Notamacropus eugenii: one gene and its partners. The protein of the gene in region 2 interacts with the protein of the main gene of each other region in a pairwise test. Links are inferred from orthologs where the notes say so. Each region holds a gene or a part of one and is shown on either strand. Other genes may lie near its edges. The genes, in order: protein NKG7-like, AGTRAP, ACSF2 and COQ8A.

Evidence for each region.
Region 1: the proteins of AGTRAP (region 2) and protein NKG7-like interact in binary tests that used the Homo sapiens proteins (3 or more experiments, as listed by UniProt). The two-hybrid records come from large-scale screens. The link is inferred for Notamacropus eugenii from reciprocal best matches to the Homo sapiens genes AGTRAP and NKG7.
Region 3: the proteins of AGTRAP (region 2) and ACSF2 interact in binary tests that used the Homo sapiens proteins (3 or more experiments, as listed by UniProt). The two-hybrid records come from large-scale screens. The link is inferred for Notamacropus eugenii from reciprocal best matches to the Homo sapiens genes AGTRAP and ACSF2.
Region 4: the proteins of AGTRAP (region 2) and COQ8A interact in binary tests that used the Homo sapiens proteins (3 or more experiments, as listed by UniProt). The two-hybrid records come from large-scale screens. The link is inferred for Notamacropus eugenii from reciprocal best matches to the Homo sapiens genes AGTRAP and COQ8A.

What each region holds. Positions count from the first base shown.
Region 1 is NC_092876.1:24,737,595-24,743,931, reverse strand, and holds protein NKG7-like, read left to right. Parts: upstream 1-4,473; 5' UTR 4,474-4,719; coding exon 4,720-4,873; intron 4,874-4,903; exon of another isoform or gene 4,904-4,949; coding exon 4,950-5,105; exon of another isoform or gene 5,106-5,135; intron 5,136-5,196; coding exon 5,197-5,331; intron 5,332-5,569; coding exon 5,570-5,619; 3' UTR 5,620-5,661; downstream 5,662-6,337. Other genes in the region: uncharacterized protein, read left to right, coding at 610-1,037.
Region 2 is NC_092876.1:51,143,819-51,152,191, forward strand, and holds the start of AGTRAP (type-1 angiotensin II receptor-associated protein), read left to right. Parts: upstream 1-4,946; 5' UTR 4,947-5,159; coding exon 5,160-5,186; intron 5,187-8,373. UniProt on the Homo sapiens protein: Appears to be a negative regulator of type-1 angiotensin II receptor-mediated signaling by regulating receptor internalization as well as mechanism of receptor desensitization such as phosphorylation.
Region 3 is NC_092873.1:360,430,152-360,438,083, reverse strand, and holds the start of ACSF2 (medium-chain acyl-CoA ligase ACSF2, mitochondrial), read right to left. Parts: upstream 3,603-7,932; 5' UTR 3,371-3,602; coding exon 3,237-3,370; intron 2,492-3,236; exon of another isoform or gene 2,404-2,491; intron 1-2,403. UniProt on the Homo sapiens protein: Acyl-CoA synthases catalyze the initial reaction in fatty acid metabolism, by forming a thioester with CoA. Has some preference toward medium-chain substrates. Plays a role in adipocyte differentiation.
Region 4 is NC_092873.1:409,108,655-409,116,704, forward strand, and holds the start of COQ8A (atypical kinase COQ8A, mitochondrial), read right to left. Parts: upstream 3,316-8,050; 5' UTR 3,141-3,315; intron 2,504-3,140; exon of another isoform or gene 2,409-2,503; intron 1-2,408. UniProt on the Homo sapiens protein: Atypical kinase involved in the biosynthesis of coenzyme Q, also named ubiquinone, an essential lipid-soluble electron transporter for aerobic cellular respiration.

The DNA of each region.
Region 1 (6,337 bases), about 26 Mb from region 2:
TGTTGGAAAGGGATGTGGGGGAAATGGGGGAAGGGAGAGAGGGAGCTGTGGAGGGGTAAGCAGAGAAAGCATTTGTAGAGTGGGCGGAAGTAAAGAGGAGGGGAGAGGGGATAGGTATGGACCGCCCAGGGGCAGCTAGCTGGTGCAGTAGACTGGAAGCTAGGAAGACCTGAGTTCAAATTTCACTTCAGGCGCTTACTAGCTGTGTAATCCTGAGGCAAGTCACTACCTTTCTAAGTGTTTCCCCATCTGTGAAACGGGGATTAATAGCACCTCCTCCCAGGGTTGTTGTGAGGATCATATGAGATATTTATAAACTGCTTTGCCAATTTAAAAGCACCATGTAAATACTATTATTATTTTATGAAGGGCAGATGGGAAAGAGAAAATAGGGAAGTGTGTTGAGGCAAGAGTATTAGTCATATAGTCTGAGGTGGAGGAACCAGACAAACAATAGTGATGGGGGAAGAGGAGAGAAGGAAAAGGGATATGGAGTGGTCATACTGAGTGGGCTAGATCTTGGGGTGGAGCATGGAGGCCAATGTAAGAAAATAAAGATCATGAGCCTCCTACTCCTGGGAGTACAGCTGGTACCTCTGCTTTCCCCAGGGTCCCTCATCTTCTATCATCATCTTCATCTCTCCAACTCTCTGATACATCCCTTGGAGAAGCAGTCACCTTCCCCAAACCCAATAATCTCACAGATTTATCCAGCTCCCCTGGTCTCCAAGCAACCTGACACCTTACAGACCCAAACATCAGTGTCTCCCAGAGCACTTGAGGTCTTCTGGGTCCCAAAGCCCCCAAAAGCTTCTTTACTTCCAGAGCTTTCTGAGAGTCCCCCAAAGCCCCAGAAATTTAGAGCCTCCTTTTCCCAGATGTCTAACAGATCCTGGGTCACTGAGCAGCCTTGGGTCTCCCAAAATTTAAAAACCTCCTCATACCCTTTGGGCTTTAGGGTTCAATCATTCTTTATGAGTACCTTAAATCACGACCACTCTGATAGTCAGAGTTCTTCTACTTCTACAAATGTCTAAAGTTTTGCTCCCAATATCTCAAAGACACCCACCCTCCACTACCCCCTCCCCATGGTCAGAATTCTCCTTCTGGATGGTAAAAAATATTGACTTTCAGGAACATTTCCCTGGTCCTGATGCTGTTGGAGGTGTTTCAATTTCCTCCTTTCCTACATCATAACTTCCCTTCTCCCAGCAAAGTAAGATTTGCCCTCTCTGTGAGATTTGTCTCCACCCCTTGGGGTCCTTGGAGAAAATGAGGGTGTAGACAGGAACCTGCATATTGAGTGTGGTGAAGCCAAGTTCAGCAGAAACGGAAAGCCGGAGAACAAGGAATATCAACGGAAGGATGAAGAGAGATGAATGTCAATTTCCCTAATGGAGTTGCTATCATTAAAGAAAGTTTGGGATTTCTTCCCCAACCCAGTATTGCATCATCATCTCAATGACCAACTTAATCCCATTTTGGTCCCTGTAATCCCCATCTCTAACCCCACTCCTCATCTGTACCCCCTCCTCCACCATCCCTATCTCTAAACCCACTAAGATCACTGATGTCCATCCCAACTCCGTTCCGAAATCCACTTATTTTAACCCCAACCCTAAACCCATCCTCTAGCCTTTCCCCCAACTTCAACTCCACCACCCTCCCCAGGCCACCTCCAAGTCACCCCACCCCTAAATCCATACCCATTCCCTATCTTTATCTTCACTCCTAACCCCAAGCTTCACTTCATCCCCCTTGGTCTGCCGTGAACTGGAGGGGGTGAAGATGTCAGTGGTGGGGTCGTGGAAAGTTCTATGGCAGTTGGGGTCCCTGAGTGGGTGGGGAAGATAAGAGAAGCCTGGGGAGGGGAAACTCAACTATTGTTCCCAGGGGAAAATCTGAGGGGACTAGGAGGGAACTGAAGGGATAAGGAATGAACTGAAGAGACTGGGAGGAACCTGATGGGAGAAGAGAAGAGATCAAGAACTAAAAAGATGGAAAATAACTGTGGAGGACAGTGAGACATCTGAATGAAAGCAGAGGGGTCGGCAGAAATTAAGGGAAACTGGGGTCAAACATTAGGGACTGGAGAAAGCAAAGCAGGACAAGGCCAGGCTCCCAGAACAAGCCTGGGCTAGGCTTTGCCTTCCTTGTACTCCAAAGCCTTTCAGCCTTCAGGAGAAAATGAAGAAACGGGAATGGAATTCACTCAGCCACTCTGCGGGCCTGGTGACCTTCAAAGTGGCCCTAAACACCCTCTGCTTTATGCTTCTCCTTCTCACCGTGTTCTTGCCCTACTGGCTGAAGATTCAAGTGTCTCATACCCATTTCTACCTGGGCCTATGGAAGCCCTGTGGGGATAAAATGTGTGAGGATATTCAGAAGTCAGGTACATGGGGATAAGGAGAAGGAAGGACAGAAAGTGGGGATGAGCATACGGAAGGAGGTAGTGAATATGTATGGGGAAGGGATAAATATGGAGGCTAGAGAAGGTGAACATGGGGCTAAAGATAGAGGATAGGGGAAAAGGGGATCTCCAAGTCTACTGAACCTGATTTAAGCTTGGTGTCCATTAGAAGGTTTCTTCTTGTGGGTGGGTATGTAGTCACAAGAAACTGATCTTGGGGACCTAGGGCTGTGTGTGTGTGTGTGTGTGTGTGTGTGTGTGTGTGTGTGTGTGCGTGCGTGTGCATGTGTGTGTGATTAGCCATTACTATCACTGCCTTTCTCCAGTCTTAATTAAGGTAGTCCAAGTGCTGATGGGCATGGCCATTGTAACAGGCTTCCTGGCTTTTCTGGACATCTTCCTGATATTGATCAATGTAGTGAATGATAGAACATTCTTCTACATTTTCTCTGCCCTGTGTAGCTTTGTCACTGGTAAGAAATCTAGACTCCAAGGATCCCTATAGGGCTTGGTCAGGAGGTGATGGGAGACTGGACACTTGCTGTTCGGGGGTGATGACACCATCTAATTCTTCCTGCAGCCTTACTGTGCCTTGTTGGCCAGAGCATCTTCATGGTCAGCATGCACGTAATATCTATCCATAGCACCAATCACTTTTTCTTCGAATGGGTCTTCTATCTAGGCTGGGGTACTTCCACACTGTACCTCCTGAGTGGTGAGTTGGTGATAGGGGCTGAAAAGGGCCGGGGATAGGGATAGTATTGGGAAGGGAGAACGAGATAAGGGTGAGGCTGGAGATGAGCATGGGAATGCGGATGGGGTATGGGTGAGGTGGGTTTGGAGAAGGGGATGAGAATGGGAAGTAAGAGGCCTCCCTTCTCAAAGGCTCTCTGACACTGGTGAGGAGGCACTCCAAAAAGGTGAAGCCAAGAAGCAGAATTACAACCACGTCAACCCAAGAACCCAAGTCAACCATGAGCTGAAGGCTGCTTTTCTGGGCTGGACCTGGGCAGGGGTGTGTGTGAGTGTGTGTGAGTGTGTGTGTGAGAGAGTGTGTGTGTGTGTGTGTGTGTGTGTGTGTGTGTATGTGTGTGTGTAAAGCCTCTCAGGTCTTGGCTCTGAGCTTGTCTCTGCAGACCCCTTTCATCCATTCTAACATTTTTGTTTTCAGGACCTCTTCCTCTTTGTTGTCACTCTTCCCCTCAGAATCCCCTTGGCTCTACACTCTGTGTATGCTCGGGGAGGAAGGAGGAAATAGTGTCCTGAAGCAGTGTCTAAGCCACCCCAGATTTCCAGCTAAGAAATCATTTGTATAAACCAAAACAGTGAATAACCAAGTAAACAGATAAACATAGAGTCTGACCAGTGGCATCTTTGGGAAATGAACGGAACCTTTGGTTGGCATCCTAGACATGTCATGTCCCAAAGCCATGAAGTCTCCAGGATCTCAACCTCCTCAGCTCCTTGGGATCTTACAATACCTTTGGCCCCAGGAGTCCTAGTTCCCAAGTTCCCCACTGTGTATCTGTTCCACATTGCCTTAGGCTTCCCAGTGCCAAGCCCTTTGGGGAGCCAAGTGCCTGCCTCCAGCCTCTATTCTCTTCAGGGATCTAGTCACACCATCCCCTTCCCAGAACAGAATCTTAGTGAGTCAGCTTTACCAAGCCATTGTTACTAGCCACATCCCCTCCTCCCCACATCCTGGTGAGTACCACTGTGTGTGTGTGTGTGTGTGTGTGTGTGTGTGTGGGTGTTCGCATGCTCTAGAGTAACTTCATACCACCGCCAGGATACTTCCTCCTCTTTCAGGCAACAGGAGGGAGAAGCCTCTCCCCCTAATATCCCATAGAATCCTCACTACCTGGTGTTATGTCAGCCTTACTTGTCTTTCCCTACACCCAGCCCTGACCAGCCCCACACAGACCACAGTGACTTCAGGGCTTGAGAAAAGGAGTATAAAGATGGTCTGCGTCATCAATCTGGTGTGAAATCCCCCACCGCTTCCCTTTCCGGGACCCACATTTGGAGCCCCCAACCTATTGCTCGCTTGGCCAGGTGTCAGTCCCCTCCCAGGCCCCTGAAACCCAAGCATTTGACTTCCAGTCCTCTGTAACTTCTCAGTCCCCAGGTACACCAGTAAGAATTTCTAGGAATTCAGGCTGCCCCCCAAATTCTCCCTACCCTGCTTACAAGATCCCAGCTCTCTGTTCTTCTCTGGCTTCCACTGCCCAAGGACCCAGGTGACTGGCCTTCCAGCTACTGCCCACTTCTAAGAAGGCACCCTTAGTTCCTGAGGACCTGGGTCAAGAATGCACCTCCGTTGGGTGCTTGCCCTGCTCTCTGAGAGCCTTGCTCTGACCCTCCTGCTAGTTGCACTGAGTACTGATAACTGGATCACAGCTGTAGGCCCTAAACACCAGGCCCACTCTGGCCTCTGGCATCCGGATAAGGATTCTGTGAAAGGTAAGAGGGCAGCCCCTGGGATTTGCTCACCTTGGAACATCCAGTTTGGGCTGAGCTGCTAGCACCCATATTGCAGATTTCATCCAGGCCACCCGGGCCTTCATCATCCTGGCTGCACTGGCGGGTCTGCTGTCTATCTCCTGTCTGATCCTCGTCATCACTTCATCTCTCTTCACCTTCAGCCTCAGTCACCTGGCCTCTTTGATTTCTTGCATCACAGCCTTTGCTGCAGGTAAGACTCATGGCAGGGGAAGGAGAGAAGCTGAGTGGGGAGAATTGGCAGATTGGAGAAGAGAGAAGGGCCTCACAGCTTCCATTCACAGCCCTCTGCAACACTGTGGGAATGGCTGTCTACACTGGAGAGCGATGGAATGAGCCAAGTGATTCTCAGATTCAGACCACCTTTGGCTGGTCCTTCTACATGGGATGGATTTCTGTCATCCTCTTCTTTTTTACTGGTGAGTGGGGGAAGTGAGGTATGGGGAATGTGTGGAGGACTAGAGGCCTCCTGTCCCAGGAAGAGAGACAGATTGACCAAAGTGGCCCTTACCTCTTGAGCCTCTAGAGAAGCCCCAGATCAGGACGGAGAACATGGCAGGAATGGGGTGGGGAGGGGTACATGATGAGACCTGGGGGCTTCTGGAGAGGGGATCAAAATGAATCTTCTCTGAAGCCTGCCTCTCTTTACCACAACAGGAGTCCTGAGTCTTGCTGTACACCATCCCAACTATGAGACCTTAGCTTGAGAAAGCGGTCCTAGATTCACTGAATAAATCAAAAGTTGCCCATCGGGTTGATTTGTGTCTCATTACTCCCAGAACTAACCCTGAGTCCCCACTCTGCTTGGCTCTCTGAACCCTGCATCTCTGTCTCCTTTCCCCTTCCATCTCTCACCCTCTCCCAGTAACACTCCTCCCAACCACACATCCTTTCCCACTCTCCCTTGACTCCTTGCCCTCTAGAACACTGTTATCTAGTGTCCCATGAATACCCACCTTCCAGTGCCACCCAGCCTTTCACCTTCTCTCCATCTCCTAGCCTCTGCTTCTAGTCAGTTTTCCAGTCATCCATCCTCCCAATTTCCCAGTACTCCCTATGTCCTAGTCTTCCCCCAATGTTGTTGATGCCAACACACCTCTTCCAGTCTTCCCCAGATACCCTTTTTTCTCCACCATCACTCATCCTGTTTCATAGTGTCCCCCCATCATCTCCTTTCCCTTCTGTCTGTCCTCTTCATCGTTCCATTCTCCCCATCTCTCCTCCCAGTTTCTCAGGCTACTGTTTCCAAAGTTCTCCCTATTCCATTTCTCCAGCCTTCCCCTTCTTTTGTCTCTGCTCCCAGAACCCTCTTGTTCCCCTCCTTCTCTCCTCCCAACCAGGAGTCCTTGCGTCCAACCTCCTTCTGTCCTGATGATGATCTAGGATGAAATTCCTCAAGGAATGGGATGTGTGTGTGTGTCCCTT
Region 2 (8,373 bases):
GTTTTTTTTTTGTTTCATGTTACTTCTGCTTTAATGCTAATGGTTAAAATAACAAGAGCTAGCATCCATATAGCACTCTAACGTTTGCAAAGCTCTTTACAAATAGTATCTCATTTGAATCTCATAACAACTATGGGAGCTAAGTGCTATTAATATCCCCAGTTTACAAAAGAGGAAACTGAGTCAGTGATTTATCCAGTCACACAGCTAATGTGTCTGAAGCTGGATTTGAACTCAGGTGTTTCTGACTCCAGAACCAGCACTCTAACCACTATACCACCTAGCTGAACTATGTCATTCTGAGAACCAATAAAATCAAATCTTTCCATGTGGCCCAAATCTACTTTTCCAGCTTCAATTTCCAATGTACAGTCAAACAGAATTCATTCACTGGATAAGTATGCTTTCTTAGAACTTAAGAACTCCAGCTAAATCTAATCCAACATTCATTAATTAAACTAAAGCAGTCATCAAGGTAGTGAAGGAGCCAGTATGTTGTACTTGAAGTCAGGAAGATCTGAGTTCAAATCCTGTCTCAAATACTTCCTAGCTGTGTGACTTTGGGCAAGTCACTTGTAACCTTTGTCCATCTCAGTTCCCTCATCTGTAAAATGAGTGGATTGTAATAGCACCTCAAATAGTGGTCATACAGATCAAATGAGATAATATGTACATAAATATGTATATATATAAACTTATATGTATACATATGTAAAACATTTTGCACTATGAAAATTGCTAGCTATTATTAAGCCCCTATTGTGAAAGGAAAGAGAAAGATGATAGTTTGAGGGAATAGTAGATTGTAAGGGTTTTTTAAGACTTGGGGAGACCTGGGCATATTTGCAGGGAGCAGGGACGAAACCAGTAGATACAGATATTGAAGCTTCAAGAAACAGGGGATAATTGTGGGAACAATTTGCCAGAAGAGACAGGAGGGGACAGGAGCAAAAGTTTATACTGAAGGGTTAACTTTGACGAGAATTATCATGCTCTTTTCATTAAAGACTAGACTAACGGAGGAGAAATTGGCTATGATGACAAAAGATTTTGAGATGTAGAGAAAAGGGAAAGAGAGAACTCACATAGAGTGGCCTCTATTTTTCTCAGTAAAGCATAAGAGATCTGCTGACAAGGTAATGCGATGGACGGTAGAGGAAGCCTGAGGAGAAAAGAAATGGTCTGGAGACTTTGACAGAGAATGAATTAGCGTTTTAATAATTCATCTATGGCCTTAATAGCAAAGAAACAAATTTCTCTCTGCACCTTTGTGGATTTTTCTCTGAATTTTTTTCTTTGCCACAGGAAGGAAACTCAAAAGAATAAATCTAGCAGCACCCTCATTTTACCTAAGAGACAATGAGACAGTTAAGTTCTTATGGTAAAAAGCCTGTGGACTGGAAGTTCAGCATGTCAGCAAGGTGATATGGCTGCTCCCAAACCAAATTGGGTCATGGAGTTAGGACCAGAAGGGACCTCATCTAGTTCAAATCCTTCATTTTAGAAATGAGGACACTTGGGTCTCAGGAAAGTGAAGTTGGCTTGTCTAAGGTCATACCAAGAGCAAATGAAAGAGTCAGGGTTTGAACTGCAGACTTCTGATACTGTATCCAAGATGCTTCCCCTCCATAATATACAGACCTGATGAAACCTAGGGCTTTGGTAGCTACTGTAACAGTATCTAAAACAAAGGAGGCGTAGCCCTGCTCTGTTGTACACTCCTTACTTGATGAAGGAGATTGAATAAACTCCCATAATTCCAAGATAGATCCCAAGAACTCAGATCATTCTCCCCTCCTGCAAGTATGCACAAAATTCAGGAGTCTACTATTCAGGTCTATGTGTTTTCCAACCTTGAATTACCTCCAATTCTTTGTGCGTGGAGTTGATTTGTGACTCCCTCCCTATCATCCCCTTAACTCCCAGCTTACACTTCCAGCTGTAAATCTCTCCCAGAGAACTCAGTACTACATCCTCTGCCCCCTCTGGGAACATAATTTTACTTTCCCTGAATCCAGCTCGACTGGTTCTAACTTGCTGCCCCTCCTACGCTTCCAGCACCAGCATTAGCTGGTTGGGAATGAATATAGTATCAGTTCTTTGAACTAAACAGATCATCCCTTGTCCTTCATCCTGCTCTGGGTCTCGCCTCCCCCTTCCTAATCTAACACAACAAAGCCCTGGGTCCTTTTCTTACCTCAGGGTACAGAGGCCTGCTGGGTACTCTTATTATTTTACTCTTTTAACCTGTGGCCCATGAATTTTTTATCCCCACATATTCTCATGAACCTATCACTTTTTATGCTCTGGGATGATGATACAGACAAATGAGGATAAGAGTCTTGCCCCCTTTCACCCAGAAAGACCTAGATAGCATAAACAGGGTATGTAGAAATTTGTAGGCCCTCCCCATAAGTACAGCTGACATTTATAGAGAGAGATTGAAGAATCACCATGCTCTTTCTAAGCATTATCTTATTTAATCCTTATAACTGTCCTCAGCAGTAAGCACTACGTTTTACTGAAGAGAAAACAGGATCAGAGAGGTGAATTTGGTCTCACACATGGTCTCGCAGTCAGAAGTATCAGAGGTAGATTTAGAGCCCAGGTTTTCTTGACCCCACAATTAATACACTTTTCAATATATCTTGTCAAACAGTGAAAAAAGCAATTGACAAGCATTTGTTAAGGACCTGCTATGTGCTAGGTACTAGAAATAGAAAGGCAAAAATGAAACAGTCCTTGCTCTCCAGGAACTAACATTTTATTCAGGGAAATTTGTACAAAGAAAATTGAAAGGAGAGTGCTGACTCATTATCAGAAGATCAGAAAAGGCCTCATTTTTGAGGTTGATCTTGAAATCCCATAAATTGTTAGTACAGTGGAATCCTACCATGTGGGATTTAACCTAAATCCTACCTTAACAAGCTTATATGAGAGGTATTTAAATACCCCTTTCCCTTTAGATCTGCCATGTCTTTGACTGCACCACAAGGGTAGGGATGGCTGGGAGAGACAGGACCATAGAGATGAAGAAGCAATGGAATGAGGAAGAGGGATAGGGAAAAATAAACTATTCAGTTGTGCTTATATGATTTGTGGGTGCCACATGTCTGTAGGCTCCCAGAAAAGGGTTATCTTGCTTAATGAAGAGAATATTGGACTTGGAAGCAGAAAACCCCAATCCAAACCTCTTCTCTCCAACCATGACTAGCTGCATGACCAAAGATAATTCACTTTAACCTCTGAGCCTCAGTTTCCTCATCTGAAAAATGGATATAATACCTACAGTACTTCACTGGGTCATTGGGTGGAAAGTGCTTACAAACGTGTTGTTGTCTTGGAGAATTTACCCTTTTCAATATTTTAGTTTCAACCAGGACTGAATAATCTACTTGATTAAGGAGACTGAATAAACTCCCATAATTCCAAGACAGATCCCAAGGACTCAGACCATTCTCCCCTCCTGCGAGTATGCACAAAATTCAGGAGTCCTCCTTGAATTATTGGGGAAATGCTCATGTGTCTCCTGGATGAAGTTGACAGTATTCATCTCACAGTGAAAATTATCCTGACTCTCCCTCATGTGGGTAGGGAAAGGCAACCATGCCTTTTCACAACGCTCCCATAGTACAGCTGTGAGGGACAGAATGTGAGCCCAGTCAGGCATTTGTCCCATTCCCTAGCCTTCCAAAGCTGTGTTAGGCTTTCCTTCGGAAAAGCTGTTGCAGTTTTCCTTTCACATGGTATATATTTGACATGGTTTATTAGGAACTCTTTCAAAAGGATTCAGGGCACAGGAAGAAGGGCAGGGTTTTGGTTCTGATACGAACACAGTTCTCCTAGGGCTAGGTTTCTTAACATTTTGTGACACAGAGCCATCTCAGCCTGGTGAAACCTATGGCTCTCTTCCCAGGGGGAAAAACTTTAAATAACTGAATGCCAAATTTCAGTTCATTTGAAAATGCCAAAGACTTAGTGGTGAGAGAACCTCATTTTTGGAGTCTCCAGTAACTGTGGTTTGTGGAGGAGTTGGGGCCTTCCTTATCTACAGTGGCACCTGAAGGGTCTCATCTCATTGAGCCCTTCCCCTGGAGCAGGGTTGGGCCAGTGCTCTGGAGCTCTTGGACTCACCGGTCTATCCCTGGCATTTGTTGGACAGCTGTTACCTCTGGAGGTGGGCAGGGGATGCCGGTTGGCCCTTCTCCACCAGGGTTGCTCCCTACATGATGGCTGTAGTATACCAGAGGATGGCAGGGGACTTACAGATTCTTTTATCAGTCTTCCATCCCATACATGAACAACTGAGACAGATCAGGGAGGAAGGATGGGGGCGGGGGGCGGTTGGAGAATGCCCTTCCTCTTCTACAGGGTGATGGAAGGGCCTGCCTAGAACTTCTGGGCCTGGTGATCAGGGGGAGGAAGAGGGGCAGAAGACGACTTGCCCTAATTGGGTGCAGCAGGAGAGAGGGAGACAGACAGACAAAGACAGAAACACAGACACACACCCAGAGAGAACCACAGACGGACAGACGGACGCAGAGCTAGAGAGGGAGCATGCGTGCGTGGCCCGAGCCCGGGGCTAGGCCAGGGGGGAGCAGGGACAGAGCGCCCCTGGCCGCAGGGGGGGCAGACGCCCACCAGGGGGTGGCAGGTGTTGGGAAGGGAGGGGGCGCGGCTCCCCCAGACTCGCTCCTGCCCACAGCCCTTCGCCCTCTCTCCCGAGCCTCAGGGGTCCATCCTTAGGGCCAGGGGCGGCCCGAGATGAAGGGAGAACCTCAGGTGCGGGCCGGGCTCGGGGGCCTCCAGGCCATCCCTCCCTAGAGAAGTCTCCGCCCAATGTCGAGGCGGGGGGAGGGGCGGGGGGAAGGGCGGGGGGAGAGCTGGGCTCGCGCCGCCCGGCCGGAGGGGGAGGGGCGCAGCGCGGTGCAAGGTGACGCCGTCTCCTAGCAACCAGCCTCGGCTCGCGGTCACGTGCACAGGCCGTGGGTCAGGTGGCCAGGCCGCCCGAGCCGGACCTAGGGGGAGGAGGCGGGGCCGGGAAAGTTTGTTTCCCAACTTTCCGGGTAGAGTCCGATCATCCGCAGCCGCAGCCGCAGCCGCAGCCCCGCCGCCGCCCCCTTCTCCGCCGTCCGGTCCCGGCCCCGGCTTGGCCTGGGATGGAGCTGCCCGCCGTGAACCTCAAGGTAGGGCCGCGGGTGGAGCGGGGCGGGCCCGGGGACGGAGGCCCGAGAGGGACAAAGGGGTGCCCGGGGCGGAGGGGCGTGGAGGAGAAGAGGGGGCCGAGAGGAGGGAGAGGACGGGGACGGGAAGGGGCTGAGAGATCGACCGAACGGGGAAACTGAGGCCCGCCCGGGGTCACCGAGGCTGGGATGCCCGCAGCTGGGTCAGACCCGCTCCAAGTCGTGTGCCTTGCGAGCCAGGGAGGGCCACTGAGGAGAGAGGAGGCGGAGGGGGCATGGGGCCGGGAGGAGAGGGGAGCCCGGGGATCAAGGGGGGCAAGGGAGGGCCGCCGAGGAGAGAGGAGGCGGAGGGGGCGTGGGGCCGGGAGGAGAGGGGAGCCCGGGGATCAAGGGGGGCAAGGGAGGGCCGCCGAGGAGAGAGGAGGCGGAGGGGGCGTGGGGCCGGGAGGAGAGGGGAGCCCGGGGATCAAGGGGGGCAAGGGAGGGCCGCCGAGGAGAGAGGAGGCGGAGGGGGCGTGGGGCCGGGAGGAGAGGGGAGCCCGGGGATCAAGGGGGACAAGGGAGGCGCCTGGAGAAGTTATCCAGGCCTAGAAAACCGGCCCCACCTGAGCCTGGGGAGCATGTGCTCCAAGCGACACCCCCCCCCCCCCATCCAATCCGCCTGGGAGCATATAGATATAGATATCTATAGATAGATATATGTACACACGACCTCGCAGCATGTTTTACCCAGTTTACTGAAGACTGAAGAGCGAATGAGGAGGAGACGGCAGAAGTTTGGGGTGTCGCTTAAGAATTTGGCAGCTTTGGCATTCATTTGTACTTTGCTTTAAAAAAACTGTATAAGGTAAATTTTAGGGGAATTTGTAACCTGTGACAGGCTGCTTCTGGGTAAGTTTTCTTGCTGTCGCAGAAATCTTTAGTAAAACTTCCATCTTTTCTCTTCAAACATTCATGGTGTCAGAAAGTGGGATTTAAACCCTACACCTCCCTAAGGAGACCAGATTCATGAACCATCACATTTACGTATATATGTATGTGTATATATGTACATATGTATGTGTATATATATTTATCAAGGTGGATAAGCATGTTGAACTTGGAGTCAGAAAGATGTGTCCTGCCTCAAACACTAGCCTTGTGATCATGGGCAGGTCACTTAACTTCCCTGGACCTCAGTTAGGCCATCTGCAAAAATGGGTCCTGTGTATGAGGTGTAGCACCCACTTCCGGGCATTTGTTGTGAGTCTCAAAGAAGGTCATCTAGCTAAAGGGCTAGGTCATAGATTTGGAGTTGTTAGAACTAGGGACCAGGGATTAGAGGGAGGAGAGCTTTAGGAGGGAGAGAGGGGACCTGGAGCTGAGGGCAGGCTAACCAGGCCAGTTCCCTTATATCAGATAAAGGACAAGAAGGAGAGAGGATCAGGGAACTGAGGACAGGAGGGTTTTGAGGAAAGAGGGAGACAAAAGGGTAAAGGATGAGGAAGATGGAAGTCTTAGGGAATGTGGGGGCTGGAGAGGTGCGGAGACAGCAGGTGGGGTCTGAAAGAATGAGGACAAAGGGAGGAAGGGGGCCAGGGGATGGAAGTCTACGCTGGGGAGGGCTAAGGGCCTCCTTAGCAGGAGAGGAGATGGGGAGTGGGGCAGCTGGACAAGGCAGAGTTCTTAGGGGTGAGGGAACCTAGAAACTGAGGAGGAGGAAGCCCAGTGGGCAGATGGGAGAGAGTCCCTGGGAGTGAGGGGTAGAAAAGCTTAGAATGAGTTATGGGGGAGGGGGACAGCCTGGGGGAGGCAGGGTGTGGTTGGAGAGGAGGCCCTCAGGTTTTCCCTGACCAGCCCCCATTCCTGGGATACTTCTCCTCTCCATCTCCATCTTCTCCCTGGCTTCCTCCAAGACCCAGCTAACATTCCAGCATCTGGAGGAAGCCTTTCCCCATCCTGTCTCAGTCTAGCCCCTTCCCTGTGTTGACCCTCCCCACATGTCCTGGACTTAGCTCCTGAGCATGGAGGTTTGCATGTTATTTTAGATGTTAGGCTGCGAGCCCCTTGGCCAGGGCCTGGTGTTTTCCTTCCTTTGGATCTCCAATGCTTAGCCCAGTGCCTGGCACAGAGGAGGCCCTCACTATATGCTTGTTGACTGACTGCAGTGGAATCATGAGGGAGAGGAGGAATGGAGAATTAGGAGGGAAGTGATTGGGTGGAGGAGATAGAGTTGACAGAACTGAGAAACCAGGCTATGGGTTTCTATGGGAATAAGAAAGAGATCGACTGAATGGGGAAACTGAGCACAGAGCGGGTTAAACGGCTCACCCAGGGTCACCGAGGCTGGAAAATGCCTGCAGCTGGGCATATAGGATAAGGAAGAGCAGATGGGGTGGCTGAAAGGCTAAGGGACAAAAGGAAAACTGAGGAGCAGAGGGGGAACCAGGAGGGAAGCCATCAGGGGACAGAGGGATGCCATCCAGGTGCAGAGGGAGGAAGATTCTGGAGCTTAGCACCAGGCCTGGTACATGGCAGGCACTTAAATACTTGTTGACTTCTTGACGATTTGGATATAAGTGGAAGGACACAGATGGAGGGAAGAAGGAACTGAGACTACTGGAGGCTCGATGGGCTTGTTTAGAAAGAAAAGGGCTGAGTACCCTGTGATCACAGGCCTGGGTACTTGTCCTAGGCTCCTCTAACCTACAGACCTCCCATGGGGACTTTCTGAAGAAGAAGAAGGGCTGGGGATTGCAAAAAGGAGAGGACCCAGCCCATCCCAGCAACCCCACCACTCCCACCTCCCTGCAGCTCTGGCCAGGGAGAGCACTCTCCATTTCCAGGAGCCTTTGCTTTCACTGTCCAATTACTGCCCTGGTTACTTATTTGTCCCCATTGTTTACTTAGACCAGGTTAAGAAAGTCGTGACTAATGAAACCCCTTTTTCATGTTAAAGCATCTAGCTGTGACTATGCCTAAAAATGCTGCTCTTGGGGGTGGGGGTCCCTCACTTCCGACATCCTCCTCTGCCCTAGACCCGACCCACCCCCAGGGCCATGCTTATTTGTTCTTCCACCAACACAGAGATAAGGGCTATTAATCAGGAAGGCTGACTCTTGGCCCAGGGTCAAGGGCCCACTCATTTCTTGTATTGGAGACAGTGCTAGGACAGCCTAGACTGAGGTGTTTCCCCGCTCCATGATAGCAT
Region 3 (7,932 bases), on a different chromosome or scaffold from region 2:
CAGAGTTCTAGACCTGGAAGAAACTCTGGTGACCATTGAATACAATCCCCTCCTTTAATGAATAATGACAATGAGGCCCAGAGAAGAAAACGATTTTTCTAAGATCAACACAGCTGGTTAATGTCCAAGGTAGAGAAAAAGGTCTAAAAGCAGGGTCTTGGGACTGCCGAGGCAGCCCCTTGTTTTCCACTTACAGCTCTGCTCACCAGTCAGGTTCTCCCTGAAATTATCTCACTAGTGTTAGCAGTGTATGGCATGTACACAGTAGGTACTTAATACATGTTTATTGACTCATTGAAAATGAAATATCAAAATGCAGGTTTTAATTTAACCTAAGAATCAGAGACTACTGGAACACAATGGAATTGGAAACTCAATGAGATGAACATAGCTGAAGGTCTTACACTAGGTCAAGATTTAGAGGCCTTCTATTTAAAAAAAAGAGCACAAAAAAACAAATACGATCATTACAAAATCTCATTATTGTAAAGCATTTTTTGGCATGCAGATGAAGCAACTTATGCAAGATCAATTGCATTAATAAAAAAACCACATCTGGTTAGTAATAGATAAATTGTACTTCCTTCTTACCTCAAACCCCCTAGAATCATCAGTTTCCATCCATCCATCAATCAACCAACATTTATTAATTACCTACTATGTGCCAGGCACCATGCTAAACACTGGGGGATACAAAAAGAAACAAAAGACAGTTCCTGTCCTCGAGGAGATTCATATAAACAACATACAGGAGACAACATAAACAAACATAGAGGCAAGCTATAGACAGAATAAATAGGAAATAATTAACAGTTAAAGCACTGGAATTATGAGGAGTTAATTAATCACTGATCAGGGGCTATCTTATACCTTTGCTGATTCTCCTCTCCTTCCTGATACCCATTTTTACTGCTCTCTTCCTTTTTTGGGGATGGGGGAAGGCAAGGCAGTTGGGGTTAAGTGACTTGCCCACAGTCATACTGCCAGTAAGTGTCAAGTGTCTGAGACTGGATTTGAGCTCAAGTCCTGCTCTGTTCCCTATTCACTATGCCACCTAGCTGTCCTGGTTCTTCCTTTTGAAATTATTCCATGTGCTTATAATATTTATTTATTTGTGTGTGTGTGTGTGTGTGTGTGTGTGTGTGTGTGTGTGTTCTTCTTCAGCCTTGAGAGCAGATTGTGCCACCTTTACCCTTATTTTCTGGTCCCTAGTACAATGAACCCTCAATAAATGTGTCTCAAATGTAGATGTCCCTCATCATCATTGGATCATAGCTTTAGAAGTTGTCTAGTCCAACCTGCTCATTTTAGAGATGAGGAAACTGAGGCCCAGTGACTTGGTCAAGATCTTACAGGGAATAGATAGTAAAGCCAGAATCTGAACAGAGATTCCCTGACTTCAAATTCAGTATTCTTTCCTCTGAGCCACACTGGAAGTAATATGAGATCCCAATTCTTAGGTTCTTACCCTGGTGACTAAACTTATTTTAAACTTGCAGATTGTGAACTTGTTAATTTTGTAGAAATATTTGACAAATGTATTTCAGTGTAATTGGTTTCCTTTGCAATCTTATGCATTTTATTTATGCATTTAAAAACATATCCTGAGAAGGGGTCCATAGACTTCACCAGACTGCCCAAGGCATACAAGACATGTAAAACACACTTGCCCTAGTCTGTAGCTTACTTAACTCATGCCTAAATCCACCATTGCTTGGAATATACTTCAGAGGTCTTGAGTCAGTCCTTGTGCATGAATCAGAAACAAGTGGTCAATCATTAAGCCTCTGAGAATACTTTCAGTGGCAGATTTGCTTGCTTCTTTCTCCAAATGTGACTCTTGTAGGCAGCTTCAGACTTTTGTGTATCCATGTAGCACAGCTGTCCAAACTGATTTTGCCTTATTTTATCTCTTATTTTCTTTATCCAATTAAGTTTCAGACCTAGCATCCTCCTACTCTTTTCTTCACCTCTGAAATCAGTCAATGATATAGAGAGCCTTGCTCCACCTTCTTCCATAGTCCACAAGGTCTCCCTGAGGCCTGTTCTCCTAACTAGTGAGTCTTTAGGCCTGACCACCATTTCATGAAGGTCCATAGCCATGCATATTTCATGCCAGACTGACTTCACTTCCTGACCTTCTCCAACTTGTAAGACAGCAAGCGAGCCTTACCTCCTTCCTGGATACCCGCCCCTCATCCCCTTTATGTGTGGTCTTCCCCCATCAGAGAGTAAACTACTTATAGGTAGGACTATCTTATTTGCTTGTGTTTGTATTTCTAGCACTTAAAACAGTAATTCTCACATATTTAAGTACTTAAATTCTCTCTCTCTGTCTCCCTCTCTCTGTCTGTCTCTCTCTCACTTTCACTCTCTCTGTATATCTCCCCCTCCCCCTCCCAGTTGTACTTGTAGCAACGATGGGACCCAGAGTCTCAGTCAGTACCCACTGAGCCTACCGTGGGCTCCCACTTGAAGGCCTGAGATGATTAATGAACATCCATGAAGTAAATATCATAATGTCTAACTCCTGAACAACATCCCCAGTGCTCAGAAGTTGACCCCCACCAAAAAGGATCTTGACCTCAGACCAAGGGGGAATGAAGAAGAAATCAGTGAGAAGCAAGAAATCAGGAAGAGTTCTGCACATTCAACATTTGTGAGGTCACAATTGTGAAGTCATTCCCGTTTCACTCCACTTAATACCCTAAACCCCATCCGCATTATCTGAAGATGTGTAAAATTGTGATGAAAGAGAACTCCCCTAAAGTGGGTTTTACCACCGAAGATACAAGAACCCAAGGCTGTTGATTGGGGAGAGCCCAGGGGAAGGAATGACTCCTTTCCTTCTCCCACTTCCACCTCAGGCCTTGAGGATCTTAGCAGGCTACAGAGGGTCCTAATCCCCTGGGGCCCCAAAGGGATAGTTGCTCTAACTCCAATCAGAAAACAGGCAGGTCAGGCAGAGAGCTCAGCAGCCCTGGCCAGAATGGAAAAGGGAAGAAAACAAGGGAGAAGAGAAGAGAAGGGGAGTAAGAAACTCCGGACTTTGGGCACAGAGAGGTTGGGGGGGATGTCAGCTCCAGAACACTCTTGGACCAGAGGGTAGAACATCCCGACGGGATCGCAGAGCACCCCACCATGGGTTGGAGCGACCCTAAGTGCCCCCTGGAGTATCTAGCTCCTACATTCCAAGTCATCCCAACACCGCCCTCCCCACCCCCAGCTCCCAGTACCTGAGCAGGCGGATTTCCTGGAACTCCGCTCTCCGCCAGCCCCGGACAGGCACTAAAGTTGAACGAACCCCCAATACCCCCATCACCCCGGTTGGCAACCGCCCCAACTGTCGCACCCCAAATGAGACAGCCATGGTCTGTTAGAGTCAGCACCCCTAGCCCAGCCCAGCGACTAAACTTTCAAGGCAACTGGAGTCTGGGGGGGGGGGCGGGGGGGAGAGAGGGGAAGATGAGGAGAAGAGGGGAGGAGAGAAATGGCGAGGAAGGGGGGAGGGGGGGTGCCCAGCCTATGGCGGCACCCCAGGACTGGAGCGGGGGCGGAGCGAGGGCGTGTCTCCCAGTCACCCCGCCTCCCTACTCAGCCCCCAAGACTTCTAGATCCGGGCAACTCATCTTCTATACTGCTGAGGAGAGTGTAGCTTGGCAGGAGGCGGGAGGTCTGTCATGGGGATCCCTTCAGGAATTGGTAGAGTTCACGTTGGTTTTATAGGTGACTGGGACGGGACCTTTCCTTTTGCTCCCTTCTTAATCCGGAATTGGAGAGGGAGAAGGGAACTCTCTTCACTGGCCAGTTCAGGTCATTCAGCAAACATTGCCAAATGCTTTCTGTATGCTGAGCACCGGACCAAACTCTGGGGATGCAAAGAAAAGAAAAAACAAGTGTAGGAGAGAAGAGAAGTGGTTAGTGAGAAGTCTGCGCGCTCCTCTAGGTTCCAGGTGTGTGACTTCTGCTTCTGAACCGTCCCTAACCGTCCCTGCCTCCGCCCACCACAAGCAGTCCGTCATAAATCATTCCCTTCCAGCGCTAAACCCTGTACTAAGAACAATAATTTTGGAGTGCTGTTGTCGAATCATGCCTCTGGTCACTAGCCTAAGAGATGGTGGACTACAGGTGAGAAATGGGGCACTCACTTTCCAACACCGACAACGTGACAGTTCATTTTGCTTGTGTACTAATTTGTTCCAAGAAAAGGTTCTGTGGCGGAAAGGAGGAGTAATTGGGAAGTGCCAATGATATGTGTGTGTGGAAATAAAGAACATCAATAAAACATTCATTTAAAGTTATTGAGATTTCTGTCTAGGAAGTCCACTGGTAGAGAAAGCTCTCTTCTCAGATCAGGGCTCTTTGTTAACATTTACTACTGTAGCCAGAAAAGATCCAAGTTTACGGGACTGGGCTAATTCTGGACTGAGCCCTGGGGCCACAGAGGTGATGCTCACTTTTCATTTCACATTAATCCCCACCTATCTACCTGGATTCTCAAGTTAGAGAATTATAAAATCCTGGATTTTTATTACACTTGGAAGATCTTAAAGATGTCCTAGGCATGAGCAAGGTGGAGGACCAAAGGATAAAAGAAGTTAGAGCCAGAAAGGACTTCAGGGATTAGCTCATCCTACCTTCTCATTTTACAAAATGAGACAACAAAAGGTCTCTTGTGAACTGATATAGAATCCTAGAATCTCATAATTGAAAAGAACTTTAGAGACTGTCTAGTCTAACTGGTTCCAATAGAATGTGAGCTCCTTGAGACCAGAGACTGTTTTTTCCTCCTTCTGAATGCCTGAAGCTTAGCACAAAACTGTCACAATAAGTACTTAATAAATGCTCATTGACTGACTGACTGATTGGTATATGACCAAATATCTGCTCTACATAATATAGTCTTCAAGCCCCAACTTCTGTGAAGTGGTAGCCACCTGGAAGAAAGATGTCAACATTTCCTTCCCAGAGATCACAGGATCTTGGACTCAGTTTGGAAAGACATTTCCTTGCCATTTTACAGGTGGGAAAACTGAGGCCCAGAGAGATTAAATGACTTGCCTATGAAGTCAACCTACTTCCATCCTTTTTTTCTTATAGGTGCCCAGTCTAATCAAGCACTTGACCTCCCCCCTCCCAACTCCCTTCCCAAGTAGGAAGAGATATGACCAATTTTTTTTTTCACCAGAAGCAATTAGCATGCAGGAGGATTCTTTTTGTTGTTCAAATTTGTTGTTCAACTCTTTGTGACCCCATTTGGGGTTTTCTGGGCAAGGATACTAGAGTGGTTTGCCGTGTCCTTCTCCAGCTCATGGTGATTTGGGCTTAAGGCGTGGTCCTTCAGGGATCAAAATTTACATTCCTTTGGGCAAAACACCCAAAGGTAAGAGTCATTGTTTGGACTCAGATTGTCTCAGAGTGGATATAATAGTCACTCTTTCTGTTTTGGTCAGAAACCCTGAGGGTATTCCCCCCCTGGATTTTTTTTTTTTTTTTTTACTAGACGAAGAGACCATTCTTTGCCTCACTTCTTACCTAGCATTAATCACTGAGTGGCCTCTGCCTCAGTCAAACTGAGACCTGGGAAAGACCTTAACTTAAATGACCAAGGTCTCCCATTGCATCTTGGGCCATCTCCAGTTGTCCTGATCTATATCTGGACCCAGATTTTGTCACTCCTTAACCACTCCTTAATTCCACCCCAAAACACCTAGTTAGCTTATTTGGCACAAGTGATACTATAGAATATCCAGTATAAACTTGCTCTGTACCCCTCTAAGGTTGCAGGTTTCCTAAGAACTCTTACCCACTGAAAAGTGTAATAAATCTTTACCTTGATTTCAACAATGCTTGAATTCATGAATTCTTCTCCGGATGACCTGACTCTGGTACCCTGGTCTTTGTGGAGGTCTCACACCCCCTTTCCAGCCCTCATCAGTATCTCTGCCAAGAAAACACCAAATGGAGTCATGAAGAATGGGACACACCTGAATAACAACAAAGTAAATTATACACATTATGCAATATGGTTATTGTTTGCCTTTAGGGTACAGTGGAAAGAGCACTGATTCTGGGGTCAGGGGACTTGAGTTTGAAGCCTGCTCTGACCCTTACCATCTTCTGGACTTCACTTTCTTCATCCATAAAACGAAAAGGTTGGGACAAGGTGGCCCAATTCTCTCCAAGTTCTAGAACTATGATCCCATTTTCTGTAACCACCCTTTATGCCAGTTTAGCACCTTCTTTAAGTGTGCCTCACTAGTAGGCAGCATGGCTCTTGAGGTACCTCACTCAAACCTTGCAAGTCACCCTTTTTGTTATCTAGGGGAGAGGGAGAATTCTATTGCCTTGTTTCTTTTCCCTTTCTGTCTATTCAGGGAAGGTTCTAGCTGTTTCTGTTTTCTTCCTGTTTAGTGCAATGGATCACTCAGAGCCTGAAGGTTCAGACAAACAACCTTTTTACTAAAGTTATATTATTTCTGCTTTCAGAAGGCAGTTTCAGTTCACAAGGCAGTTACAAAGCATTTTGGGAAGAAAAAATCCGCCCTCAAGATGTTTAAAACAATCAACAAGGGGATTCCCTGAAGTTGTATGAGTTCACTGGCAAAGTGCTAAAACTGTTTTTTATAGTCTTCTCATAAGATAGGCCTACAGCTGTCCTCACCCCTCCCCAGTTCTACGGATATCCTGGCCCATAGCAGGAGGTGAATGAAATTGTAAGTTTAGCTTCTGTTTGCTAGACTGAGTTGTTACCTACCACACCAGGGCTGGCCCCAGACAAAACTGTGAAATAGATAAATTCTGTCTTTAATCCTTTCCCCATCTGGTATTGAAATTACAGTGCACAGATTAAAATCCAGGTTCTCTGACCCTAAAGCTGAATTTCTTTTGATTGATTTTTCTAAATACTCTTTTCCCCCAATTACATGAAACAACAATTTTTAATACTCATTGGGATTTTTTAAGTTTTGAGTTCCAAATTCTATCCCTTCTTTCCTTCCCTCTATCTTTCCTGAGATAGTAAGAAATCTGATATAAATTACACAAGTGCAATAATGGAAAACATTTGAATATTAGTCATTTTGTGCAAGAAGAGTCAAACAAAAAAAGGAAGGAAGGAGGGAGGAAAGGAGGGAAGGAAGGAAGGAAGGAAGGAAGGAAGGAAGGAAGGAAGGAAGGAAGGAAGGGAAAAATAGTATGCAAAGCTAATACTGTTATTACCACAACTCACTATCTCAGGTGGGGTGGGCAGGTTGGAGACCAAAGGTCTTTCTTTTGCCCCAAGCTGTAACTCTGAGGTGTTAGGGCAGAAGTTAGGTCTTGGCCTAGCAAGAAAGAGTCCCTAGCTTGGTCCCAGAGAAAGAGGAAATCATATCTAAGTGTCAGAATCTCTAGCCCTTGATCCTGTCCCTCTACAGCAAACCTTACTCCACCAACATGAGAAATTTCAAAGAGTGATGACAGGTGAAATAATTTGTCTACTAGGACCTTCCCTAATATGATTTTATGTGCCATTGCAAAAGAAACCCATCCCATATGGGCCCTTCCTTTAATGACCTTTGTTCCTTTTTAAAATCCTTTGCCAGGGTCAGAGAGTAGCAAAATAGTGCGAAGAAACTTGGAGTTTGAGCTCAGGTTCGAGAATCAGGCCCTTGCTGTTTTGCTTTCTGATCTTGGAAATGGATGGAAAAACCAGCTAGACCATTGGGAGAGGGTTCACCAGGATCCTAAAGTAGGAGGGAAGAAAGAAACAGCAATAGATACTCATGCAATGGATGGACTCACCTGGGCTCACCACCATGATTAGGCAAACTCTCAGATCCCAGGGCCAGAGCAGGGGAGGAGCAGATGTTGTTAGAGACAAAGAAACAAAAGAAAGAACAGTATAAATCTTTCTTTTTGTCCCTCCTCTGTCTCATCCCAAGGCTCTGT
Region 4 (8,050 bases), on a different chromosome or scaffold from region 2:
CACCTATCAGACTGACTAACATGACAAAACAGGAAAATGATAAATGTTGGAGATTTGGGAAAACTGGAACACTAATGCATTATTGGTAGAGTTGTGAACCGATCCAACTCTTCTGGAGAGCAATTTGGAACTACACCCAAAGGCCTATAAAACTGTGCATACATACCCTTTGACCCAGTAATACCACTTCTAGGTTTATATGCCAAAGAAATTGCAAAAAAGGGAAAAGGACCCACATGTACAAAAATATTTATAGCAGCTCTTTTTGTGGTGGTCGAGGACTGGAAATTGAGGGGATGCTTAACTGGGGAATGGTTGAACAAGTTGTGGTATGTGAATCTAATGGAATACTACTATGCACTAAGAAATGATGAGCAGGCAGATTTCAGAAAAACCTGAAGATTTACATGAACTTAATGAAGACAGCAGAACCAGAACATTGTACACAGTAACAGCAATTCTGTTGGATGACCAGCTTTGATAGATAGGTCTTCTCACCAATGCAATGATCTAAGACAATTCCAAAAGACTCATGATGGAAAATGCTATCCACATCCAGAGAAAAAAGTATGGAGTATGAATGCAGATCAAAGCATACTTTTTCTCTCTCTGTTTTTTTCTTTCTTGCAGTTTTTCCCTTCTGTTCTGATTTTTCTTTCACAACATGAGTAATATGGAAATATGTTTAATATGACTGTACATGTATAGCTTGTATCAAATTGCTTGCTGTCTTGGGGAAATAGGAGGGTAGGAAATTTAGAACTCAAAATCTTATAAAAGTGAATGTTTAAAACTAAATAAATTTATTTCTAAAAAGAGCATCAATAAAACATTTACTTAATAAAAAAGAAATAAAAAGGATTGTAAAGTAGAATAGCATGACAGAAGAAAGAGCAGTGGATTGGGGAATCAGGGTACCTGGATTCAAATCCCAGCTCCTCCACTTACTACTTGTGTACCACAGCCAAGTCAATTAAATCCTCTGGAGCTAAGCTTCCTCTTTTGTAAGGTAAGAAAAATGGACTACAATAGGGGTAGCTAACCTGAGTTCCATGAACTTTAAAAAAAAAAATCTGATAACTATTTAGACGTAATTGGTTTCCTTTTTTCGCTATGAAATTTATTTTAAACATTTAAAATGTTAAATATCTAAAATCATAGTCTGAGAAAGTTGATCTATAGGCTTCACCAGACTGCCCAAGAGATCCATGACACCCAAGAAAAGATTAAGCAGCACTGGAGTAGATGAAATCCCTTCCATCTATAATCTATGATCCTAAGTGGGTGCAAAGACAGCCAACCTTCTCACTTCTCTTGCAGGATACACAAGGAAGGTTATGTCAATAGTAAAAATAACTGTCTACTGTTCATTTTTCCCCTCATTTCTTAAGACTTAGCTTAAGTGTTCCAGGCTCTTGGTTCAACCCATAAGGAGTGATTTGTCTCCAAAGGGACATTCCTGCCACACTCCGAGTCAGTCTTTCAAGCCCCTGCCAGCTCAGCCTGTCCTTTTACAGCATGACAACCAGCAGCTTGGCATTTTCAAGTCCTCTGGCCAGAAAGAAGCCCTGACAGTCACCCTTTGCCAGTGCTTCAATCACGAATTTAGGGGGCAGCTGGGTATCCCAGTGGATAGAGCAAGGCCTCCAAAAAACAAACAAGCGTTCAGGAACACCTATTTAGAAAGCCCTCGAGGCATGGTTTCCCCACTAGACCCCGTGGGCAGGCAGGTCAAGCATTTCCACTGCCCAGGCTAAGAGGCTCCGCATTCTGCCCAGACTTCACACAACTCTCAAGCCTCAGGGCCAGGATTCTCCCAATCCCACATCCTGGGACCTGGCAGAGGATGGGCCAAAGGCAACACAAGGCCAGCCTAAGTCTACACCTAAACCTCCAAGGGCGAGGAGTGCCAACCGCCAGGCGTCCGGGCAGGGCGGCACGGGACTCTGCCCAATGGCCGGCAAAGTTGGGCGTGGAGGCGTGGATGAGGCGTGGGCACGGCTGGCGCGTGGAGGGCAGCTCCCGCAGCCGCGCGGACACCTCTTCCCCCCGAAGCGCCCCGTCCTCCCGGGCTAACCCCACCCGGGCTGGGCTTCACCTCTCTGCAGGCACTGAAGGTCAGAACTAGCCCTTGGGCCCGGGGCCAGCGCGCTCAAGAATCAGGACTCGGAAAAGGCAAACAGGGGTGCGGGGCAGGAACGAGCCGCGCCGGGGCTCGCCCACCGGCTGGGGCGGCAGCGCGCTCCAGGGCTGGGGCTCGGAGCCCGGACCCTGCCGGCCGCGCTCCGCTCCGGCGGACGGGATCCACAGGGACCGCCGGGTGCTGAGGTCCGAGGGGGCGGGAGGGCGCGGAGGCTGCGGCGGGGGCTCTCCATGCATGCAGCAAGTGCGTGGGGCTGCCGCCTTACCTGGGATTGGGGAGGTGGGTCAGCAGCCCGCCTCCGCCTCCGCCTCCTGCAGCCGCGCACCTCCCGCTCAGCGCTGCGGTCCGGCACGCGCTCGAGGTATGTTTACCAACTCTCCAGCCGCGCCGCGCGAGGCCCTGGGGCGGCCTAAGCACCGCCCCCCGCGGTCGCTCCGATTGGTTGCGCCGCTTCCTCCTTCGGAACGTGGGCCCGGGCAGCCTTACAAGCCGGAGCTTAGAGGACCCCTTCGAGCCCTGAGTCGCGAACCGTGCGCCGCGCCGGGGCTCCTGACGCCTGGGCCAATCGGGAGCGAGAACGGAGAGACGCTAGACCAATGGGAGGCAGCTCTTCTTGGGCCGCTCCCAGCCCCTCCCCCACGCTCATTGCTCCTCCCACCTCCCTGCTCCCTCTTCGGTCTGTAAATCTGGGTAGGCCGTTTGCTTGGTGCAAGGGCTGGGGGGCGGGGCATTTCTCACTCTGCCTAAGGCCTGTGGCTTGCTCGTCCCCGCGGGAAATGGTGCTAGCGGCCATGGTCGCCAGACCCCCCTCAGGGCCTGGCCTCAGGCAAGGGGGGGGAAATGAAAAAGACTCGGGCCACTCCCGGGGAGCCGCAGCTGGGCCTCTCTCCACTGCCCGCCCTTTCTCTCCTCCCCATCCCCCACCGCATTCAGCGTACCCCCCAGCCTGCAGTCCAACCCTGCCCTCCCTCCGCGGCCCCCAGCCTTTCAGCCTTACGTTCTGCTCCACTCGTGGCTGCTTCTCCGGGGCCGCCCCCGCGCCTTCCTCCAGCCCCAGCTCAGAGGCCGCCCGGTGCACGAAGCCCTTCCTGAGGGCCCGTCACGCTCTCTCCAGCTCGCCCCTCTGCGCGCAGTTGTTTCCACGTGGTCCTCCTTGTTAGATGGCGCCCCCCTTCGGGGCGGGAGCCGTCCTGGGCCCTTGCTCGTGTGCGGGCGCCTCGTCCAGCGCCCGGCCCGGAGGTGCTCGTTAACTGTTGGCTGGCCCGTGTGAGAGCCGCGAACAGCCGGCCGCCGCTTGTCCTACCAGCCTTGGGTCTCATTCCCTCTCCTCATCTTGTGGGTGCTGTTTGACCCCCGATGGGGTCGTTCTTCCTAAACATCAAAGCACAAAAAGTGATGCGAAGGGCCTTGGCCCAAGACTCTTCCCTTGGAAACAGGCTGTTCCAAGCCCGGAGTGACGGCCCAGCGGGCCGGGATGGGGAGGACAGGATGCGTGTATCCATTCAGTGTCGGGCACGTGGCCCCTGCCCCTGGAAGCGACCCTTCGCAGGCCAGAAGATGGAGCCGAGGGGGTTGTGGCTGTTTTCAGGACCCCCTGTGGGGTGCCCCGGACCATTTTACAGAGGAGGAAACTGAGACAAAGAGGGTTACGCGGCCAGATGTGAACTCCTGAAGATGTCTTCCTGTTTCCAAGCCGCTTGTTCCGTCCACTTTATCCCCTAGCTGCCCCAAGGAGAAGGGGAGGGAGAGCATTTCAGATGGCAGCAGAGGGGAGGAATAAACAGCCTCCTTGTTCGCTGTTGACTTCCTCTATCCCCTTCCCTTGCTCAGCCTCAGAACTCCGTCGCCTGCACCAAGTAAGCAGGTCTGTAAGGACTCCGGGCCCGTCAGGGATGAAGGGACACCGGCCCGAGTAGCGGTGTGACGTGGGGAGAGTGACCTGCTTCAGACTGAGGGGGCTGCGTCCTAGGAGGAGCCCTGGGGTTCACAGGTGCTCCACCCCACCCACCAACCTGAATTGAGAGTGACTACTGCTTCTCTCCCAGTGCCCCCTCATTAACTGGTGGAGGGCGATGACTATTAAGAGGCTGGCATTAGGCACATCCGAAAACGCCTGAAAGAGTGTGTGTGAATTGTGTTCTCAATGTGTTTAAGTAACAAACGCATGTGCGGTGGTTACACTCCACCAAAGGCCTACCTCATTGAGTTACCGTGGTGTAGAGGTGACCCTGGATTCTAGACCTCACACAAATATCGGTGTCATTGAAATTCTCTTGTACAATCCCTGGAAGGTCCTGCCCACTAGCTGGAAACCTTTCAAGTTAACTACTTTTAGAGGGCTAGCTGGGCAGGGACTCACCCCCAGGAGGAGAGATAGCAGGCGTAGATGGATCTGCCTCACTTGGTAGCTGTCAGTGAGTCAGTAAGCATTATCTGCTGCCTTCTAAGTGACAGGCGTTGAACCAAGTGCCTAGGATACGAAGAAAGACAAAAGACAGTTTCTACTGCAAGGAGTTCACAATATAATGGAGGAGACAAAATGCCAAAAATAAATACAAAGCAGGCTTTATACAAGACAAATAGGAAGTAATCAGCAGAGAGAAGGTACTACCATTAAGGGGGATCAGGAAAATAAAAGGCAAAATTTCTATAAAAGATTTTAGCTGAGATTTGAAAAAAGCCAGAGAAACCAGGAGTTAGGCTTTGCAAATCTTGAAAGGTTAGTAACAAGTGAGTTATTATTACTATATACACAGGATCTTTTTTTAAGCTCCTGAACATCTCCAAAAGTTGGTTCAGTGGTCAGGATTGTGCCATTTCTGTCTTCTTCATAATGTCATTGGAGGAACACTCACATTAAAAAGACTTAGGTTTCAGTGCTAGTTCTGCCATTAACGGGTGATGTCATCTTCACCTCTAAGGTCCCTTTAAGCTCTAAACAATAATGAAGATAGTAATAATAATAATTGGCACTTATATAAGCACTTTAAAGTTTGCAAAGGTACTTTACAAATATTTTTATTTTGTCCTCACAATAACTCTAGAGGGTGCTATTATCCTCATTTTACAGATAGGAAACTGAGTCTGAGAGAGGTGAAGAGACTTGGTCAGCTAATATGTGAGGCAGGATTTGAACTCAGATCTTTCTGACTCCAGGTCAGGCAGCTTTGTACTTTATCCAGTATCCAGCCATGTAACTGCCTCTGAATACTGTGATCCTATGATCTTAATTCTGGTTAGCTTTTTTGCATTGTCATTTCCTCTTTATAAATGAGGGAGTTTGACTAGAGGACTTCAGTAGTTATTCTTCCAGCTCTAGTGTTATGCATACTATAAAATCTGAAGAGTGAGGAACTAACACCATTTTCATTTTTGTTTTGAGTGTGTGATAAGCAAATCTAGATGTAGACAGACCGAGCAGGCAGCACCAGTTTCAGAATTTAGCAGGCACCAGGGCCAATGCACAAAAAGATGGTTCATTTCCTCCAAGAGCAACCCCCTTCTGGAATATTGAATTTTGAAAACCCAACATAAACAGATCACATCTTTGAGGGCTAAGGGTATAGCCTACTCAGCCATCCACTGACTAAGCCCTGAGGAAAGTCCAACCCAGGCTGGGACTTGATGGACTGCCAAACCTAATAACATAAGAGTAATCCCCAGTACGATGGGAAATGATAAGCACAAAAGTAATAATTTAGTGGTCTGAACCTGGGAACATCTCAGCATAACCCATGAACAAGCTCTGTTTTCTGTTTTTTCTTCAGAATTCACAGCCAGCTCATTTTATCAGAACTGGCATTCAAACCCAAGTTCTTTGGATTGCCAAGTCCAATGTTCTGATAGCTCATATTGAACGAATAAATGGCAATCCAGTTTACAAAAAGCTTTCTGCATGACACACCTGTGGAATAGCACAAAACATTTTATGGATGAGGAAACTGAGGTTCAGAAAGTTTAAATGACTTGTACACAAGGTTATGAATGGTAAAATCAAGACCTGGATAGAGACAGAAGCAAACAGAACGAGGAGACAAAGATTAGCCCAATTTGTCTGGAACATTCAGTTGCTGAGCAGTCTGGTAAAGTAGTCTTTCTTGCTTTTAGGATTTCATCAGTTCCAGCACCAACTTCTTTGGCATGTACTATGTTTGATTCAAGTATTCTTCCTAAGGGCCGTCTCTACTTCTGAGTAACCCATCAGATATCAAGGTTCCAAGGACCAAATGTTCCTCTGTCACTGATGATGGAAATAGCCTGGCACCAGGGGCATCGCCCTTTCCCAGATACAACATCCAGAATAGCTACCCCAGCTCCAAGACACTGTGTAGGTCCATATCCATACAAAATGATAGCTCATAAGCCCCCACAAATGTATTTGTTTTCCTTGTAGTCAGCCAGAGGTCACAACTCATTTAAACCAAAGATATTTAAAGAAGTAGCAGGCAAACAATCAAGAAACACTAAGTGTCATGCACTGTGCTAAGTGCTAGGGATACAAAAGAATAGTAAAACTAACTAAATAAATGAAAATAGACCCTCAAAAGGTAACTGAGAGAGCATTAATAACAACTGAGCCACATGTCTACTTTTTGATCTATATAAAATCTATATGAGAACAACCAATCATCCCCTCTCATTCTCTAATCCTCACGCTCTCCCTACTGCTCCTCTTGGTTTCTTTTCTACTAACTTTAAACATGCCTTAGTCTTCCCTTAAAAAAACTTTCATTAGGCCCTCTAGTTATTGTCATTTATTTCTCTTCTCTTTCTCATTCAAACTTTAGATATTTACTTATCAGTTATTTATACTCACTGCCAGCATTTCCTTCCCTCTCCTCTCTCTTCCTTATTAACCCTTATCAACCTGGCTTTCAACCTCAGACTGTTTTGGAAACTGCTGTCTCCAATCTTCCCAAAATTCTCTTCGTTGACAAAGTTGATTTTTTTTCCTCAGTCCTCATCTTTCTTGACCTTTCTTCTCCATTTGACTCCATTTGACCACCTTCTCCTCCTGGATACAGTCTCTCCTCTGTGTCTTGTTGTTTGCCCTTTATTCTGTTCCCAAAAAGGACCAGTGACTTCAGTGGAAGTGATGTCTTGACTTGCAGGTGAACTGGATTTAAGTGAAGCCAGGCTGTTCAAAGTCATCATTTTCTCCTCCAGGGTCATCTGAGCATCTCCCCTCTTGGCTTTGGTGACATTCCTCTCTCCTGGTTCTTCTTCCATTCTGTCCCACATGATCATTTCATTCATTGTATTTGTCTCCCACTGCATTTTTCTTATTGCTTATTCCAAAAAAACAAGACTATGTAGAAGCATGGGTAACTTTAAAGGCTCTATTCCAACGGTGCAGACTCAAATAGAAATGGAAGCCTGAGAATCCTTGATATTTAAAGATCCCTGCTGCACGTTGGCTGCACATTGACTTAGTTTTAAAATATAATATTATCCCCCAATTGATAAATGGTCAAAGGATATGAACAGGCAATTTTCAGAAGAAGAAATTAAAAATATCTATAATCATATGAAAAAATGCTCTAAATCACTATTGATTGGAGAGATGCAAATCAAAACAACTCTGAGGTACCACATCACACCTATAAGATTGGCAAACATGACGGAACAAGAAAATGATAAATGCTGGAGAGGATGTGGGAGAGTTGGAACACTAATTCATTGTTGGTGGAGCTGCGAGCGCATCCAACCATTCTGGAGAGCAATTTGGAACTATGCCCAAAGGACTACAAAAATGTGCATACCCTTTGACCCAGCAGTATCGCTACTAGGACTGTATCCCCAAGAGATCATAAAAATGGGAAAGGGTCCCACATGTACAAAAATATTTATAGCAGCACTCTTTGTAGTTGCCAAAAACTGGAAGTCAAGGGGATGTCCATCAATTGG